Caenorhabditis elegans: one gene and its partner. The protein of the gene in region 1 purifies or fractionates together with the protein of each later gene. This does not show direct contact. Each region holds a gene or a part of one and is shown in the gene's direction. Other genes may lie near its edges.

Region 1 (8,746 bases):
GTGTATACTGGTGCTGGTGTTATGGCAGAAGCTTTGGAACTTTTCTACGATGACTTTACCGGTCAAAGCGTGTACGAAATCAGAAAGGCTTGTGACGAAGGCTGGGAGCCAATTGGACAATACTGTATCAAGTTTATGGCAACTGTAGAAAACATTCTTCCGATGCCACAGGCTAAGGCTTTCTGTGCCTCAGCTGGTGGATTCCTCGTGGATGATCTCACTGACGACAAGAATGGCTTCTTGAAATCAGTAGCTGCAAACACTCAATTCTGGACCGGACTCTTCAAAAACAATGATGGACAATTCTATTGGGATCGTGGAACAGGAATCAACCCGGATCTTCTCAATCAACCAATCACATACTGGGCCGATGGTGAACCAAGTGACGATCCAACACGTCAATGTGTATACTTCAATGGAAGATCGGGCGATGCTAACAAAGTCTGGACAACTGATACTTGTGCAGAGCCAAGAGCATTTGCTTGCCAAAAACATAGATACGATGCCGATCATAGACCAAACGTTATTGGAGACGATGATCTTCCTGCTGGATGGTGGTATGCTAAAGTAAAGTCCAATCCTCCTTCCGGATACCCTAACATGTGCACCATGAGCGTTCGCGTTCAGTCTAGCCTCCAGATTGTGACTGGTTTCTCGACAAAAATTGGAAACGATTTCCCACTTCCTGATCCAATTCAGGATTCTACAGAAAATCGTCTTATCAGTTACGTTCACTCAGTTGATAACGAGAACCGTGTCCCAATTCTCACTGATGCTATTCTGTGGGATGCATATAATGGAACGTTCTACAATGGACTGAAATATCAAGTTCGTTTTGGATGCCAATTCGCTTGGGTGACTCAGGACTTCCCATGTCCAAATGGAGATTCACAAGCAAATGAGTTTGGAGTGCTTCATGTCGGAGAAGATGAGTTCGGAAACACCTTCCAACGTTTGACGTTTGGTCACTGTTCCCGTGCACAAATCACTTGTGGAAACGGAGGAATCAGGCAGAACGGTCAATGTGTTTGCACCGACTACTGGACTGGATCTCGTTGTACCGTCCCAATTTGTGTTAATGGTGGAACTAGAAACCCTGACGAAGCTACCTGCTCTTGTCCAGATGGATATGAAGGACCAAATTGTCAATTTGGTAACACATTTGTATTGAATTTGTTAAATGAAATAATAATATTTCAGAGGTTTGTCAACCCAACGTCCCACAATTGTTCAGTAATGATAGAAAATCATTGCTCATGGTCGTGGAAACAACAAGGCAAAACTCTGACACTGTCAATCAGCTCATTGCCAATCTGAAGAACATTGTTTCAGCGGTAACGAATAATATGCCACTTTGGTTCACCAATTTCGGACTTGTTACTTTTGATAGTAAGCATATTATTCTTGTCCTCTGATACATATCAGTTGTAATTTTCAGCCACTGGAAGAACATTTGAAAAATTCGACTACACTTCCATCGATGATCTTATCACCGATCTCACCACACAATCTAACGCCATTTCTACTGATGGAGTTTGCAGTATGCCATATCTCGGGTAATCTAGTTTTTCACTAATTTTTTGTATGGTTTTAACGTTCAGAGTTCTTGCGCATCTTCTGGAACATGATGATGTTATTGCTATGCCGAATAGTGAAATTTTCTTGGTCACTCCTGCTGGACCAAGTGACCTCGGAAACTATGTTGAAACTATGGAAGTTTTGTTTAACACTCAAGCACACGTAAGTAACAGCTAACTCGATGAATCATACATGTTCGAATTTTCAGTTGCACTATGTCGTCTCCAAGACCGCAAACTGTGCAACATTCGATGGTGTCAATAATGTCAGAGACATGACATGGCTTGGATACGGATCAAGCGGAAACATCTTGTTCACTGATCCTGCAAACATTGTCAACGTGAGTGTAGCATTGTTTATCAACTAGTTAGCACAATATATCAATTTTACAGCTTTTCAATTCTTATCTTCCAACTCTGTACGGAGCTTCAGTTCTTCAAGATCCTACCGGCATCACGAACTACACCTGTTCCGATGGATCTCTTCCTTGGTTTGTGCCAGTTGATATCAACACAACATTTATCTACGTCACCACTTCTGCCGAGTTTGGTTCACTTTCTGTCAAGGATCCTCTTGGAGGTTAGTCGTTTTTTTTTAAATATTATCAACACCTCGACTTGTTTCAGCGGCTCACAGTGCTACCCCAGTTTACAACGTGAATGATCAAAAGATCTACGCAATTGAAGTAGACAGACTTGGAGGAATCTGGACACTCCAACTTGTTCAGCCTCCAGGATTGTGCCTTGCACATGTCTATTCAACTGGTGGAGCGAAGGTCTACACAAAGTTCTCGATGCCAAACCCAATCGGAGGAAAGCCTGATCCACTTGGTTCACATCAGGATGGACGTTTCGTACAACCAACAGCTGGTTTTGACAATGTCGCTGTTTTCCATCTTGCTGGCAATCCATTCCACAGAGGACAATTGCAGTATGTAGAAATCTTCGATATTGGAGCTAACTCAATCACAGTAAGCAACATTAAAATTGTCCCTTCACAAGAGAATAAACTCAGAAGTGATAAAATTTCAGAACATTCTCCGATCAGAGCTCTACGTTCGAGCAGGCTGCTCTTACGAGTACTACTCTGATTTGTTCACTTGCAACGGCGACATGATTGCCGTCTATGTTCATGGAGTTGATGAAGCAAACCAAAAGTTCAGAAGACAAGAAATTGTCATCTGCAATGGTAATATACGCTTACTTGTTTAATTGTGCAAGAAATTTTTCAGGACGTAGCCCAACAACCAACCAGCCAGCAACAGGAACAATTGGCCCAATCACCATGCCAACTCAACAAACCGCGCTGACTCAAGGTCCAGTAACTCAGCAAACTCAAGTCCCAGGAACTCAACCAACTCAGGGACCAGTCGCCACGGTAAATTTCAAGTATTACTGGTGATTTAGAAATTCTGAACTTACAGACCCAAAATCCATACACATCCGCTCAGTTTGATGTTGTATTTATGATCGATGGATCACAAAGTGCACAATCCAGCTTTGACTCGGTATACATTATATGCCCTTTATGTTTCCATCATATGAATTTCAGCTCACCAAATTTGTTCAAACATTCATGGTTTCGTTCAATGTTGGCCAGAGTGGAGCTCGTGTTGGATTAATTGTCGTCGGAGGTGATATCACAAACCCAATTCCTCCTGCTGCCAATCTGAACTCCCTCTCCTCTCAAGCAATGTTGAACTCTAACTTGGCCCAACTCAGCGGTGGCTACACTGACTTTGAAGACGCCGGGCAAATTCTTAACTACACTCTTCAAATTGTGTCTTCTCCCGATTTCATGGCGGCGAACAATGGTTACCGTAGTGGCATTAGCAACCATGTGTTGATCTACCTTACTACAACTACTGCGTAAGTGTTCAAAAGATTGCCAGATAAAATTAATATTTTTTAGCTTCGACACCGATCCAACTCCGGCAGCTCAGACAATTCTCGCGCAGAAGCAATACGGAATCATCACTATTGGTTATGGTGGCGCGACTGATAACAACAAGTTGCAAACTATTTCCGGAGGAAGTGCTTGCTCGTTTACAGCTCCAGATTTTGCTAGTTTGAATAACCAAATTAAGACCATTCAGCAACTTATCCTCAATGCCAAGTAAGATATATAAGTGTGTTCATTAAGTGAAATGTTCTTATTTTCAGCGCCAATGGAGGTGTCTACTGTATCAACAACTAAGGCAGTCGACCCGGAAATCACTGAAATAATTTGAATTTTAATAAACTTATCATTATTTAACAATTTATGTGTTGGACCGAAAAATCAAAATTACGAGAGAAAAAATATAATACAAAAGTGAAATGTGATGGCAATTCAATAAACTTTACTAGTGGTTGAACTTCAAGTCGAAATCATCAGAAAGTGCTTGATAATAATTTGATGATACAAAATCGTATTCTGTGACATTATTCTGCTACTACTCAATTAGAATGCAAAGGGCGTGGAATAAATTTTAATACTGTTTGAGATGGCAAAGATAAGAGTTTGCCACGGTGATATGACGTGCCGGACACACTCTCCTTTTGCGATTAAAAAGGGTTTAAATCATTATTTCATGATAATTTCATTAGATTTGCCAGGCTGCTCCTGCCTTTTCACATTCATTTTCAGAACTCAATACCTTTTACGATATTTAGTTTTTTTGGAGTTTAAGAGCAATTAAATTAATGTGAAATTTCAGTAATGAGAAGCTGGGTTTTGATTGCGGCGTTAGCCGTGATCTGCCTGGGCGCTGAGCCTGAGCTCAGTCACAAAGAGAGAATCCGCAAAGTCTTAAAGTCATGGAACCCGGCCAACAGTAATCAACTCTTCCACCCAGTCAGTGAACAGAAGATTCAATTCGATGAGCAGTCCGATCTCTTTGTAAGTTCTAGATTTCGTTTAACTATGTTCCATATATGGTTTCAGGTTGATACTCATCATATCTCCAAAAGATCTATCGCCGAGCCTCATGTTTTTGCTGGAATGGCCACCAGAGGATGTAACAAGCCAGGATACACAGGAGCCACCTGTCAATATCGTAAGTCGGATCACATATGTGTTTTTAAACTAAAAATGCAATTTCTTAGCATTGTGCTCTGCTCGCAATCCTTACATTCCTGATAACAAGGATTCTGACGATATCTCTATTGATGCAACAAATCTTGCAAACTGCAGTCAAACATACGTCGTTGTTGTTGATGAGACCATGCGGAATATCAAAATTGAGGTCGAAACTGAGTCACCATTGAATCCAACTTTCTACCTCCAATCTGAGAGTGGAGATCTGATCTTCCCTGACACTGACAGAAAAACCGTAACTTCCTATGTGGCAACATATGAGACTTTAGCGCCAGGCCAGTATCTTCTCGGACCAAGAGCTGATTCTGGAGATGAATTTTGTACTATGATGATGACCGCTCATACCAATATTCAAGTTACTGGAGGTTTTACATCAGGCGATCAACCAGAGCGCAGCGACTATCCAACCCTCAAGTTTGCCTATTTTGACACTGAATCAGCTGTTGTTCTTCATGCACAAGGACTACACTTTCCCGGTCAAATTCAGGCGATTGGATTCACTGGCGCCGAGAACCATATCTCAAGATACATTCCTATGGCAACTCGCTTCAATTGTACTTATCCATATATTTTGGAGAGGTATACTTGCAGAAAAATTGGAAATAACGATATTGGGCACAATTTATTACAGGTAAGTGCAATGAATTGATATAAATTGCAATCATAAAAGTTCAGGTTGAAGGAATGAGCGATAACGGATACGTTTTCCGTCGTATTCTGCCCTACCAATGTATTTGTAAGTGAACGTAGTTGACAACAATAATCAACCTGAGTAATTTAGTGCCACCAGTGTCTACCACCACTGTCCCTGCTCCAACAACAACCGCTGCTCCATTGACAACCTGCCAGAACGGAGGTCAAGTTTTGAAGGATTCCAGTGGTTCACCATACTGTTACTGTTTTGGACTATACACCGGACGTGACTGTTCTCAGATGTTGTGTGCTAATGGAGGTGAATACTGTAACTAGAGCTGTTAAATAGAAAACGCTATGTTGCCATTGATGTGCTACATGGTTGATAACACAAAGACAACCTTCTAAAAAGGACACTTTTTTGAGCCAGCCTAAATTGGTCATCAAATATTTTATTTTTCAGGATTCCTTCCAACTCCCACAAGCGAACATTGTGAATGTCCAGAAGGATTCACCGGTTTCCACTGTCAAAATAGTAAGTCGCCTCGGAAAATAAACTGATCACAAATGCATTACAGTTGTCTGCCCTGGTGCATCCGGAATTGATTTCAATGCTGAAAACCCGACTGTTACTCTGGTCATTCGTTCTAGAAGCCAATTGTCAGATGTTATTCAACAGGCCACAAATTCAGTTTCAAGAATTGTCGATGAACTATCTGCCGAGCCTGGCTATCTCACTAATTTCATCGTTGTGCTCTTTGATAACGCCAGTGAGTTGATTTGCAACTAATTTACCGGGGTGGCTCCCATAAGCCTACCTTCTTATCAGGAAACGGTAATGCATTATATTTTAATTTTTAGAGCTTTTGGTAAACCAGAGATATGACTCATGGGATGCCGCTATGGTTGATCTACTTAAAGCGATTAACTCTGCCCCATCCGACGGTGGATGTGATGATGTTGTTTTCTCTGCTGTTGCGTAAGTATCGACTAGTTTTTCAATGTTTTACAGAATCTTCATGGTTGTTTTACAGATCTGCTCTTTCTCTTTATCCAACTAACAAATCACCAATCTATGTAATCACTGATGCCAATCCAAATGATAGCACTGAGAAGCAAACAATTGTACACTTGGAATCTTATTGGAGAGCACCAGTATGGAAAATTTATTAAATTTAAAGTTATTCGAAAATACCAGAATGTTTCAGGTCTACTTCATTTACGTGCAACCAGCAATTGGAAGTGGCTGCAATACTTCACCCGATAGTGCTGGGTACAGAGATATGGTCGATATGGCTGCGATGTCCAGCGGAAACACGTTCTACTTTAACAACAGAACCACTATCTCCAACGTATGTTTCTTTAATTCTTTAATATTAATGCATTATATTTTAAGTTCTTCTACGTTCATATGTACAACACGTTGTTCCGCTCTCAACTTGCTCTATCTGGAGATTACTCTCACTGTGCTAATCAAAACATCTACAAATCGGTTGCAGTTGACGTGACTGCTGATCAAGTTGTCGTTGTTGCTACAGGATCTAACTTGAAACTTCAAGTCACAACCCCAACCGGAGCACACCCTGACTTCTTTGTTGCATTCAATGATGGTGTTAACTACATTTGGACCTCCAACCAAATCTTCGCTGGACAATGGTTCTTCAATTTGGTTTCCGACTCACCAAACTCTGCGTGTACCTTCAAAGTATACCAGAAGAAGTATAACCTTGGTGGAATGAGCCAATACAATCCAGACTATGACATTTTCTGGTCTTTCGCAACTACCCTCACTTCTGCAGCCGGAGTTCTCCGCCAACCAGTTGCTGGTTTTGATGCTTCTCCTGTTTTCCATGTTTCCAACTACCCCGAATTCATTTCTATGGACCGCGTGCACGCCAATCTTCAGATTTATGCTATCCGCGACGGAGTTCAAACAGAGGTTTACGGATCAAGTGGAATGTACAGAGATGCTTGTGAATTCCACTTCTACTTCCCACCATTCATCTGTAATGTCCCCGATGAAGTTCTTTACTTCAACTTCTTCGCTCGTGATAACAATGATATGGCTCTCCAACGTGCTGGAACAATGCTCTGTTCGGCTGTTCATCCAACACCACCACCACAACATCAATGCCAAAACGGAGGAGTTATGAATCCAACCAACACGACATGCTTCTGTACTCCACAATTTACTGGAACGTACTGCCAGAACATTGTTTGCTACAACGGAGGAACTGTTAGTGGAGGACAGTGTGTATGCCCGCCTGGATACGCAGGTGAAAGCTGTGAGGTGCCAAGATGTATTGAAACTGGACCAAATCCTGAATTCATCCGTTACGGAGTTGACATGGTGTTCGCTGTCGAAATTACTCAGCAATCTCTTGCTTCAATTGTCATGCTTGACAATAACTTCCAAGAAATTCTCCGCGACGTTCAAATGCAAGATCGCGGATGGATCAGAAACTTTGTACTTGTTGGATTCAACTCAACATGGGGTGGACCAATTGCTCAGTCACCTTCAAATAATCTCACGGCTATCATTGCCGCATTGCACAACCTTGCAACCAATGTTCCATCAGATAATGGTTGTAGCGTCAAACTTTGGGATGCCTTGAATCATGCCATCTTTGCCAGAGACTTAGTTCCAGGATCTTTCATCGAAATTTTCCAAACAACTCCAGAATATGAGCTCGATCAGCGCTCTCTCGGCTTGTTCTATGATATGTCACGTGCCATGGATATTAGCTTGTACGGATTTTTGACTGCAAAGCCAACGCTATTGCCGGCAGGATTTGTGTGCAATGCCACTCAAGTTAACTACTATGTTCTCTTTGGAATGGTCACCAGTTCTACTGGACAAACATACATTTTGCAAGCACTTGAAATTTCCAACGCTATTCGGCTCATCCCAATTCAGTTCTCTAATGGACAAGTGACGATTAATGGCAACAATGACTGTAGACATGAAGATGGCTTGACCACTTACTTCCCAGTTGATGCTTACACTCAAACAATCCAATTGACCGTTTTCGGTTACGGAACCACAATTCAAGTATATAATGGAAACGGAGTTCTTGCGGAAGCCCTGGAACTTTTCTATGATGATTACACTGGACAAAGTGTGTATGAAATCAGACAGGCTTGCGACAATGGCTGGGAATCGTTCGGTCAATATTGCGTCAAATTCCTCACAGTGAATGATGATATTCTCTCAATGCCACAAGCTAGAAACTTCTGTGCTTCTGCTGGTGGATATCTCGCTGATGATCTCGGAGATGATAAAAATAACTTCTACTCTTCAATTGCTGCAAATACTCAATTCTGGATTGGACTCTTCAAAAACAGTGATGGACAGTTCTATTGGGATCGTGGACAGGGAATCAACCCGGATCTTCTCAATCAACCAATCACTTACTGGGCAAATGGCGAGCCAAGTAACGATCCAACTCGTCAATGT
Region 2 (8,080 bases), 2.0 Mb from region 1:
TTTTGATCATACAAAAGTGGGCGTTTTTATTTCAAAAAAGTTCAAGAAATTCTTCAATTTTCCAATTATTCCAATTATACTAATTTTAACTTCTTATAATTTCTTGAAAATTGGCCTACAAAAGTAGACTAAATTGAAGTTAAAGCTTGCCGACAAGGTATACTACTACATAGTCGCATGAAAATTATTTTTGATGATTTATTTCCAAGCATTGCAAATTGGTATTGTAGATCCCCTCGACCTTTCTTGAAGGTCTAAACTAACACCGTTCGAAATAAATGTTGTCAATTACAACAGAATTTATTTTTTATGCGAACTTAAAATTGAATTTGATATTTTCCAGCGAAAGCATCGAAAGCTGAAAAAAGTCACAAAAGTCACCGAGGCTCCAGCAGAAGTCACAGTACCCACGGAAATTGTTACTGAGCCAACAACTGAATCCGCAACAACTCCCACTACTACCACAACAATTTCCACCACCCCATTAGTCACAACTACACCACCAACAGCTCAATCTGCAATTGTAATTAAAACATTGCCGACTACAGTTGCTCCAAGCAAAGTGGGCGAGTCTTATCTCGGTGGATGGAATGAAGACGAAGCTGTAGTGGTCACAACATCAAAACCGTCTCTTGGATATGCAATCAGCCAATTCACACAGCTGCCTGAATCAATTGCTATCGACGACGACAAGTCAATTAAAGCGTACTATGAAAAATATTACGCTGAGTGGTATCAGTAAGTGTTTTTATAAAAAGATTTCAAAATGTTTAAGCAAACTATTTCCTTATTGCATTACAGAAAACACAATCAAGCTGCCGGCACCCCAGAGGCATCAGCCGCAACAGTTCCTCGAGAAATAAAAATAGAACTGGCTAAGCCAAACACAGCTTCTTTTGGATCAGCGACATTGCAACCCACTGTGAGTCATTTGCCTCGTCTTACCCAAATCATCTCTCTTTTTTTCTGTTTGAACACGACATCACTGTCAAACATGGGTTATCATCAATGCTATCGTTTTAGAAGCTATTAAAATCGAAGCCACATATTTTTATAGGGAATTTCTTCACCGTCCGCTGCAGCCGTAGAGCCGACAAAAGAACAACTGGACAAAGTTTGCGAATACGTGGGCAAAATATCCAAATCATTTGGAATCAAAGACCTTGTCGGATTCGCCAAGAACAATTGCCCTCTGGTGCAGAGCTTCCATCCAGCGGTATATCTCTCGAATTTATAGTCTTTTTGCATTCAAGTATTCTATTTTCAGTCCACCTGCGAGCAAATCCAGCATCTGATGAGTTACTGTGAAACAGGAATACTTGTAACCAACCAATGATCTCATACATCTTCCCAAACTGTGTATTTCTACTTTTGATGCCATGTTTTGATCTTTTTATTGCTAAATGTCACCAACTTCCCTGACAAATGTATTCTCTACCTTGTCCACAAATAATGAGATTCCATGACTTTTTTTCTAATAAATCTGGAACTGTAACAAGTAATTACCAGCCACGCCTTGTTTCCTGGCGTCATTTTAGGACTGAAAAGAGTTTTCGTCATTTTCAGAGCCGCTCCCTTTTTCATTTTCCATCAAAACTGAAAAAAAAGTGATAATGCAATTTGAAAAAGGGTATGACTATCATAATAAACGAAACGATAAACGTGCACATACACGCGTTAAGGAGAAAAAGAGGTGGGGAAGAGAAGGGGATGGTTGGCAAACCCATAAAGCGAGCCGGCCCTCGAAAGGTGGAGATTCAGACAGAAGTGCCAGCGGCAAAGTGATAACGGGAGACACGACTTTGCACTACGCCTGCTTCCCCGCGAAATGTGCTCTACCAATTATTGCCTGGCTGTTTTTGTACTAGTTGGTAAGATTCTTGACAGATTCTCTGTATCATGGAGCGCTTTTAATCGAAATTCTAGTAAAAACTAGGCACTATTTATTTGATTACCGATTTTTCAAAAATTCATAGTTCAAATGTCAATTGCTCACAACGATTTATCTAGGCACTCTCTTTTTCAAAATTTCGTTCAATTCCTGATTCTCGCATTCTCATTGCCTTTACCCCATCATTTACAAGTATTCAAAACTAAACAAGACCGTTCCACAGTTATTAGATTGGCAGAATTAAGTCTTGCACTAACCGGATTGCTTTTGCTTACTTATCATCAGTTTTGATAACGAAAAATTCCACGTGTTGCCCGGTAACGCCTAAATACTATTATGACTAAGTAACTTTTGCAAGATCGGGAACGTTCCCAAAATGAAATCTGCACAAGTATTAGACTACTGTAATTTCCTAAATCTAATGTGATTGTTGGTATTAGTTGCGTCACAACTAGCGGCGGGCATTTTCTTATCAAAAAGAAAATGTACGGTGGCACTGGATACGACTTTTAGAAACCAAACATTCCAGGCTCGATTATTTTTCAACCTATTAGAAGTTCTGGGAAAAAACTGAGAGACATGACCTTAAAAAATAAACCAATGAAAAGTTTCAGGCGTTGTGGCGGCACAAAACCCAAGTTTAACGGCATGCGATATCAATAACCAGCTAAATGTTTGTCAGAGTCAGTTCAATCAACTTTTGGGATTTGATGGTAATGAAACTGAAAAATAGAATTAAGCACAAAAGTTTTGGTGTTTCAGCTTCTCTCGGTGCTGCCAAATATCAAGACTTGAGAAGTGCCATTGAGCAGTCGTATGCCAATAACCAAGCATACGGGCTTCTTACAACTTGCGATGCCTTCAAGCAGTACAAGCAGTGCTAGTAAGTGACATAGTTTGCAATGTTGTGAGATTCACAATGTGCGACGGGAATATCTCAGTCGGTAGTGTGGTGATCGCAAGCAATCATGAGACCACTAGTTCAAGTCCTGCCTTTCCCTAGGATCACCCAACCTAGCTTGGGAATTAGAGGAATCCACTAATGGCTCGTGGCTTGAAACTAAAGCCTAGTGGGAGTTTAAAAACGGAACACCCTTTGATCCTTTAATTTTTACATCTCAAATCAACTGATTTATAGCCAACCAAAAGAACAGTTCTACGCATGTGCTCAGAACCCATACGGTCTTCTAACTGGAACCAAGTAAGTTCTCAATTCAATATATACTGTAACAGTTTTTGTCTGTTCTTCAGCAACAACGGCGCCCCACTCACACAGGATCAGGCTAATGGATACGTAAAAATCTGGAACCAACTTGATTTTGTCTGTGGTGCTGGATTCTCGAGTAAGATTAGCAATTATACTGTAATACTGAATACTAGAATTGAATTTTCAGTCTTTGCCAACTCTGAAGTTTGCGGCTCTTCTGTCTTTAACAACCAGACAGCTGCAATGAGACAGTGCGACAATGACTTCAACGTGAAGTCCATGGCTGACCCAGCTCAAGCTTGCGCGTAAGTTTTCAAGTTTTGTTTCCAATCAAAAAGAATAATGAATAATCTTAACTTTCTAGATACGTTGAGATCGCAGCCAACTGCTACTTCCAACTGTTCTGGAACGCTTGTAAGAAGCCAGAGATGGCCTACTGGGGTTGCAACTACGAGCGTACCGGTACCAATCTTCTCTTCCCACAGTGCTCTCAGATTTTCTGCACATGTAGGTTTTCAGAATGGGATGGGGTTTAAATAATGTTTATTTTATTTTCAGTCCACGAACGCGTCTGATCGTCTTTTGTTTAATCATCTCCATTTTTTGTTTTGGTCAAAATGTTTTATTTGAATTCACATTTTTGGGAATAAATCTATGTAATTTAATTCATAATTTTTTAATTTCAAAAATTTGTTTTCGTTTGAAATGCTTCAATGCATTGAATACTTCTGACTTTGTGTGTGTGTGTGTTTTTTTTTGCAAAATTAAAAATACATATTTGTGCTCACATTATGCTTTCAGATGTGGCAAGACCGGTGTTTGCCATTTCTTGCGTTGATTCTTGGATTGTCAGGTAAGTAAATTGAAATTAAAACTTGTGAAATATTTGTTTTAATCTTATTTTTTTATTCCAGGAGTCCAATCAGCCGGTCTAAACTGTGACTCGACGGTTTATTTTGAGTGCCAAACTGCTCTCAATGCGGTTTTGAGCATCAGCGACCCACAGCCATGGTTTGACCCCGAAAACTTCCGCAAGGAGGCAAGTTTTTAATACAATAGTTTCCACGCTTGCCATTCCATGAAATGATAACTGAATAAGGTGATATGACGAAGGGTGTGCATAGTGAAATGTGAAATGTGAGGTTTAGAACGTGTCGATGATAACTTTTAAGTCAATGGGATTAATTATGTCATCATGATTGTATTATAATCTGATTTTTTGATTATCAGAAAAAAGAGCAAAACACAATTATTGATTAAATTTAGGTGGAGACAAACTACCAGGCTCAAGGACCCAGTGGAATGCGTAAAGTTTGCAAGTCAGTACTTCACTAGATACTCTCTCTCGAATCCTGAATATAATTCCAGAGCTTTCCGCGAGTTTAAAGTTTGCATGGGCTCTGAATACGCGAACTGCATGTCTGCGGTCCATTTTGTTTCTGTATCGGCCACTCCATTCAACGCTTATCAATTTGTTGGACTGTTCAACCAAATGCACTTTGTCTGTGGAGCTGGATTGCAAAGTATGAATTTTTATTGTCATTTCCCGACGCGATGTCGGAATTGAATTTTGTTGAGTACACAATTACACATCTTTTTGGCATGGTATGAAGTTTCTAGAATAGGTGGAAAACACGGGGAGTGTCGAAATCAAACTTTCTGGGGCTTGCTGCTGTGGTAATTTATACACATTATGAGACTCTTAGAGGAATTTCTGAGTTATGATTAGAATAGGCATGAATACTAGCACATATTAGGTTTAAAAAAAACATTCAAGAGACGCAGGAAAATATGATATACATGGGAAATAGGTCCATCGCTGACCACAACCGAAGTCGGCTGCGCATTTACTATAAATTCCTAATTTGCTCAGAGATCAGAAATCGATTAACACAAAAATAGCGCCTTATACAGACTAATGGATTCCAACCGTAACGAGGTAACTTTCTTCATTTCAGCATACCTCCTTAATGAGGGCTGTATGTCAACTACTTGGAGAAGCCAAAGTGATGTCCTGAGACAATGCCGACTAGATTATGAGGTGAACAGTGACGTTGACGCAAATCAGGCTTGCACGTAAGAAGACCATCGGGTATTATTAAAAAACGCCAACCAAACTTACAGACAAGCCAATAAGTACTTGATTTGCTTCGAAACTCAGTTCAAAAACAACTGTGGTGAAAAATCAAACGATGCCATGTTCTGGGCTTGTGAATACTCAAGAGTCAATGTTTTTACTCGATTCCCTCAATGTGCAGCTAGATGTGTTTGTAAGTGAAACTTGAAAATTGTGAAATCTAGTAAAATTGATTTTGTTTTTTTGCAGTGCCATATAGCGGAGGAATCATCGGATGAGTCGAATAAAACGAAATGATGTCAGATACAAACAAATTATTAACTTTTTGTCATTCAATCTTAACTATGTATTATCATTTGTGATAAGAATAAATTTTTATTACTGAGAAAATGCCATCGGTATAGTATATGACAATCTATTGGTGTGGCGATGGGGAACTTCATGAAAAGTTTTGAAAAAAGGGTTTTGAAATAAATATTGCCAATAGCTTTTTTGGGACGTTTTCAACATTTGGTATATTAAACATTTTGGTAGGACAACAGATTATAAGCAAATTATTATTGAAAAAAAACTATTTTTTGACTGTGTATCTTTTATAAATTGTTTTACTTATTATGCAATATTTGAAATAAAAAATTAGTTTTTTTTTCATTCGTTTTAAAATTTCACCGTCAAATTCAAATACAAGGTTCCGAAAATACTTTTTCCGCTTAGCCCATTTAATGCAATAATCAATGTCTTTTAAGCGTACAGGATTATTGATAATCACTTCAACTGATAAGGACTGCAATTCTTAATCCCATAAATGAAACATTTCCCTAGCTTTTCCGTTCCACGACATGCTGTTGAATGTATTGATTGCGGTGTTGGCAAGTAAGTTCAAAATGTACCCCCAGATTGATTGACCTTTTAAGCATGTTCAGTAGCACCAACAGCTTTTTGTGCATGCGCTCCTTCAACTACAGGTACATGCACTCCAGATTTACTTCAGTGTTGCGGGCTACAGCTCAAATCTGATCTAGGCTTGTCAAACTGTTATGGTAAAGCTTTTATAACAATTTAATTGAATGAGCTATCAATTTTTGAGGAATTCTTGCTTTCGAGCCTGAATGTCACCGTCAAGAAATTGAAAACATGTACATCAACGGTATAAGTGGTTTGTTCAAAGTTTGCGAGTTCGTTTTTTCATACTTACATTGTCTTTTGCCCATCGAAAAAAATTGATTTCAGCGCTTTTAACAAGTACTATGAATGTCTTGGACCAGCACGACGTGACTGCACCAGCATTAGTTATCACGTGAAAGCAGGTCTTCGACTTGGGTAAGTTGGCACAATTCATTATTTCTGTTAATCTTACCAAGTTTTCAGAGATGCCGTGCAAGTGGTGTCAATGTACAAACAATTCGGATTTGCGTGCGGAGCTGGATTTGAAGGTAGGTTTTCAATAATTTTTGAGCAACAAAAAATTTTAAATGTTTAAGGATTCTCCAACAACGATGTTTGTATGTCGAACATTTTTTCCACAAAACAAACTCAGATCAGCGATTGCCGTGCCACATTTGCCAAGAATTTGTTGGCAGATTATAAGAACCACTGCATGTAATGAAATATGATCAAAAATTTACAACATAATTAATTTTTAAAAAATCTGCAGGTACTTCGAGCAATATACCGGATGTTTCAATGCATTGTTCGATCACAGTTCCTGTAACTCTGAGAGCTCTTGGTGGGGATGTGAATATGCACGACAAGCTGGTCGAGCTGTTCTGCACGATTGCAGTCTTCAATGCTCAAGTAAGTCCAAAACAGATTAATGAGCAATTTTTATTTTTTCAGCATTCTGAACGCCGGGAAGAAATGCAAATGTTTTATCAATTTTGTGGTATTTCGATTTTGAAATAAAATATTTCGTATGTTTCAACAAAAAAGCTAAATCTAAAAGAGATACCATCAAGTTGAAATAATTTCCCATCCAAAAAAAATTAATAAAACTTTTATTACAAAACAGTACAATACGAAATGTTATTGAATTTCGTAGAACCAGATCAAATTACATATTGCGCCACGTTGTTCTAACATTATTCGTAAAAAAATAGTGTGAAAATGTAAAAACTCATTTAATTTATCCGATAATTACAATCATTTTAGCTGAAAGTGCTTCAAAAATGGTTGGAAATTGCCAAATGATGAATCGAATTTTCCAGCTTTATATTTCCACAATTGATATCTTTCAGGCAATTTTTTTAGCACGTTTATTAATGTTTCAGCTAACGTCGATGTTATTTTCAAGTAAATCAAACAACATTCTGTAGTTCGGCACTAATTTTTTTAATGAAAAATGTGGGAAAAAATAATGCAACTTTTTTTGTAGAATTGCCGAAAATAAATGCCACCCACCCCTGATCATATATGCATTGGCAGGCTAAAATGAATACTTGGTACAATTTCAGAACATAACTTTTTTGTTGGTTTTTCAAAATAATTTTTTGGTCTGGTTCCAGTAAAATTTTCAAAAAAAAAACTTCAAATTGTGAATGCTTGTTAAATGGGTATCTATTTACACCTTAAATACTAGTGTGACTAAAAAGGTGTAATGCTATGGTAGAAATAATTGTTTGGTCCCATTCATGGCCCGTAATGGCTATGGGGCTTTCCCATCTACGACTCATAAAAAGTAGAAACACTTGTTTTCAACAGACCTGTAAATAAACAAGAATATTAGAAACACGATCACCATTTACTATATATAAAGCGCTTATTCCGTTTGTCCATAGTTTGTAGTCTATGTAGTCTTTGTAGTCTGCGAAGTTTTAGCTTCTGGAGGGATAGTGAGTTGGGGTTAGTGTAGGGATATAGTCGGGGTACTGTAGTGGTACAATGGTGGTACGGTAGAAGTACTGTATGA

Evidence for each region.
Region 2: the proteins of hrg-11.2 (region 1) and nspg-13 fractionate together in Caenorhabditis elegans (co-fractionation; one large-scale study listed by BioGRID). This does not show direct contact.

The regions. Positions count from the first base shown.
Region 1 is NC_003284.9:3,230,939-3,239,684, reverse strand, and holds the start of hrg-11.2 (C-type LECtin), read left to right. Parts: upstream 1-4,276; 5' UTR 4,277-4,278; coding exon 4,279-4,458; intron 4,459-4,503; coding exon 4,504-4,615; intron 4,616-4,664; coding exon 4,665-5,287; intron 5,288-5,331; coding exon 5,332-5,392; intron 5,393-5,437; coding exon 5,438-5,608; intron 5,609-5,752; coding exon 5,753-5,824; intron 5,825-5,867; coding exon 5,868-6,059; intron 6,060-6,150; coding exon 6,151-6,268; intron 6,269-6,323; coding exon 6,324-6,444; intron 6,445-6,497; coding exon 6,498-6,641; intron 6,642-6,685; coding exon 6,686-8,746. Other genes in the region: Protein irg-7, read left to right, coding at 1-1,153, 1,201-1,389, 1,439-1,556, 1,602-1,740, 1,787-1,918, 1,971-2,157, 2,205-2,548, 2,610-2,766 and 5 more.
Region 2 is NC_003284.9:5,251,295-5,259,374, forward strand, and holds nspg-13 (DUF19 domain-containing protein), read left to right. Parts: upstream 1-3,899; coding exon 3,900-3,951; intron 3,952-4,012; coding exon 4,013-4,137; intron 4,138-4,364; coding exon 4,365-4,417; intron 4,418-4,466; coding exon 4,467-4,621; intron 4,622-5,056; coding exon 5,057-5,174; intron 5,175-5,222; coding exon 5,223-5,368; intron 5,369-5,424; coding exon 5,425-5,453; 3' UTR 5,454-5,561; downstream 5,562-8,080. Other genes in the region: Y34B4A.10 (aECM cysteine-cradle domain-containing protein), read left to right, coding at 344-738, 802-922, 1,058-1,216, 1,268-1,336; nspg-14 (DUF19 domain-containing protein), read left to right, coding at 1,829-1,871, 2,506-2,604, 2,654-2,774, 3,030-3,092, 3,143-3,234, 3,286-3,403, 3,463-3,605, 3,657-3,673; nspg-12 (DUF19 domain-containing protein), read left to right, coding at 6,015-6,048, 6,099-6,215, 6,263-6,350, 6,406-6,495, 6,544-6,608, 6,657-6,774, 6,830-6,969, 7,012-7,019.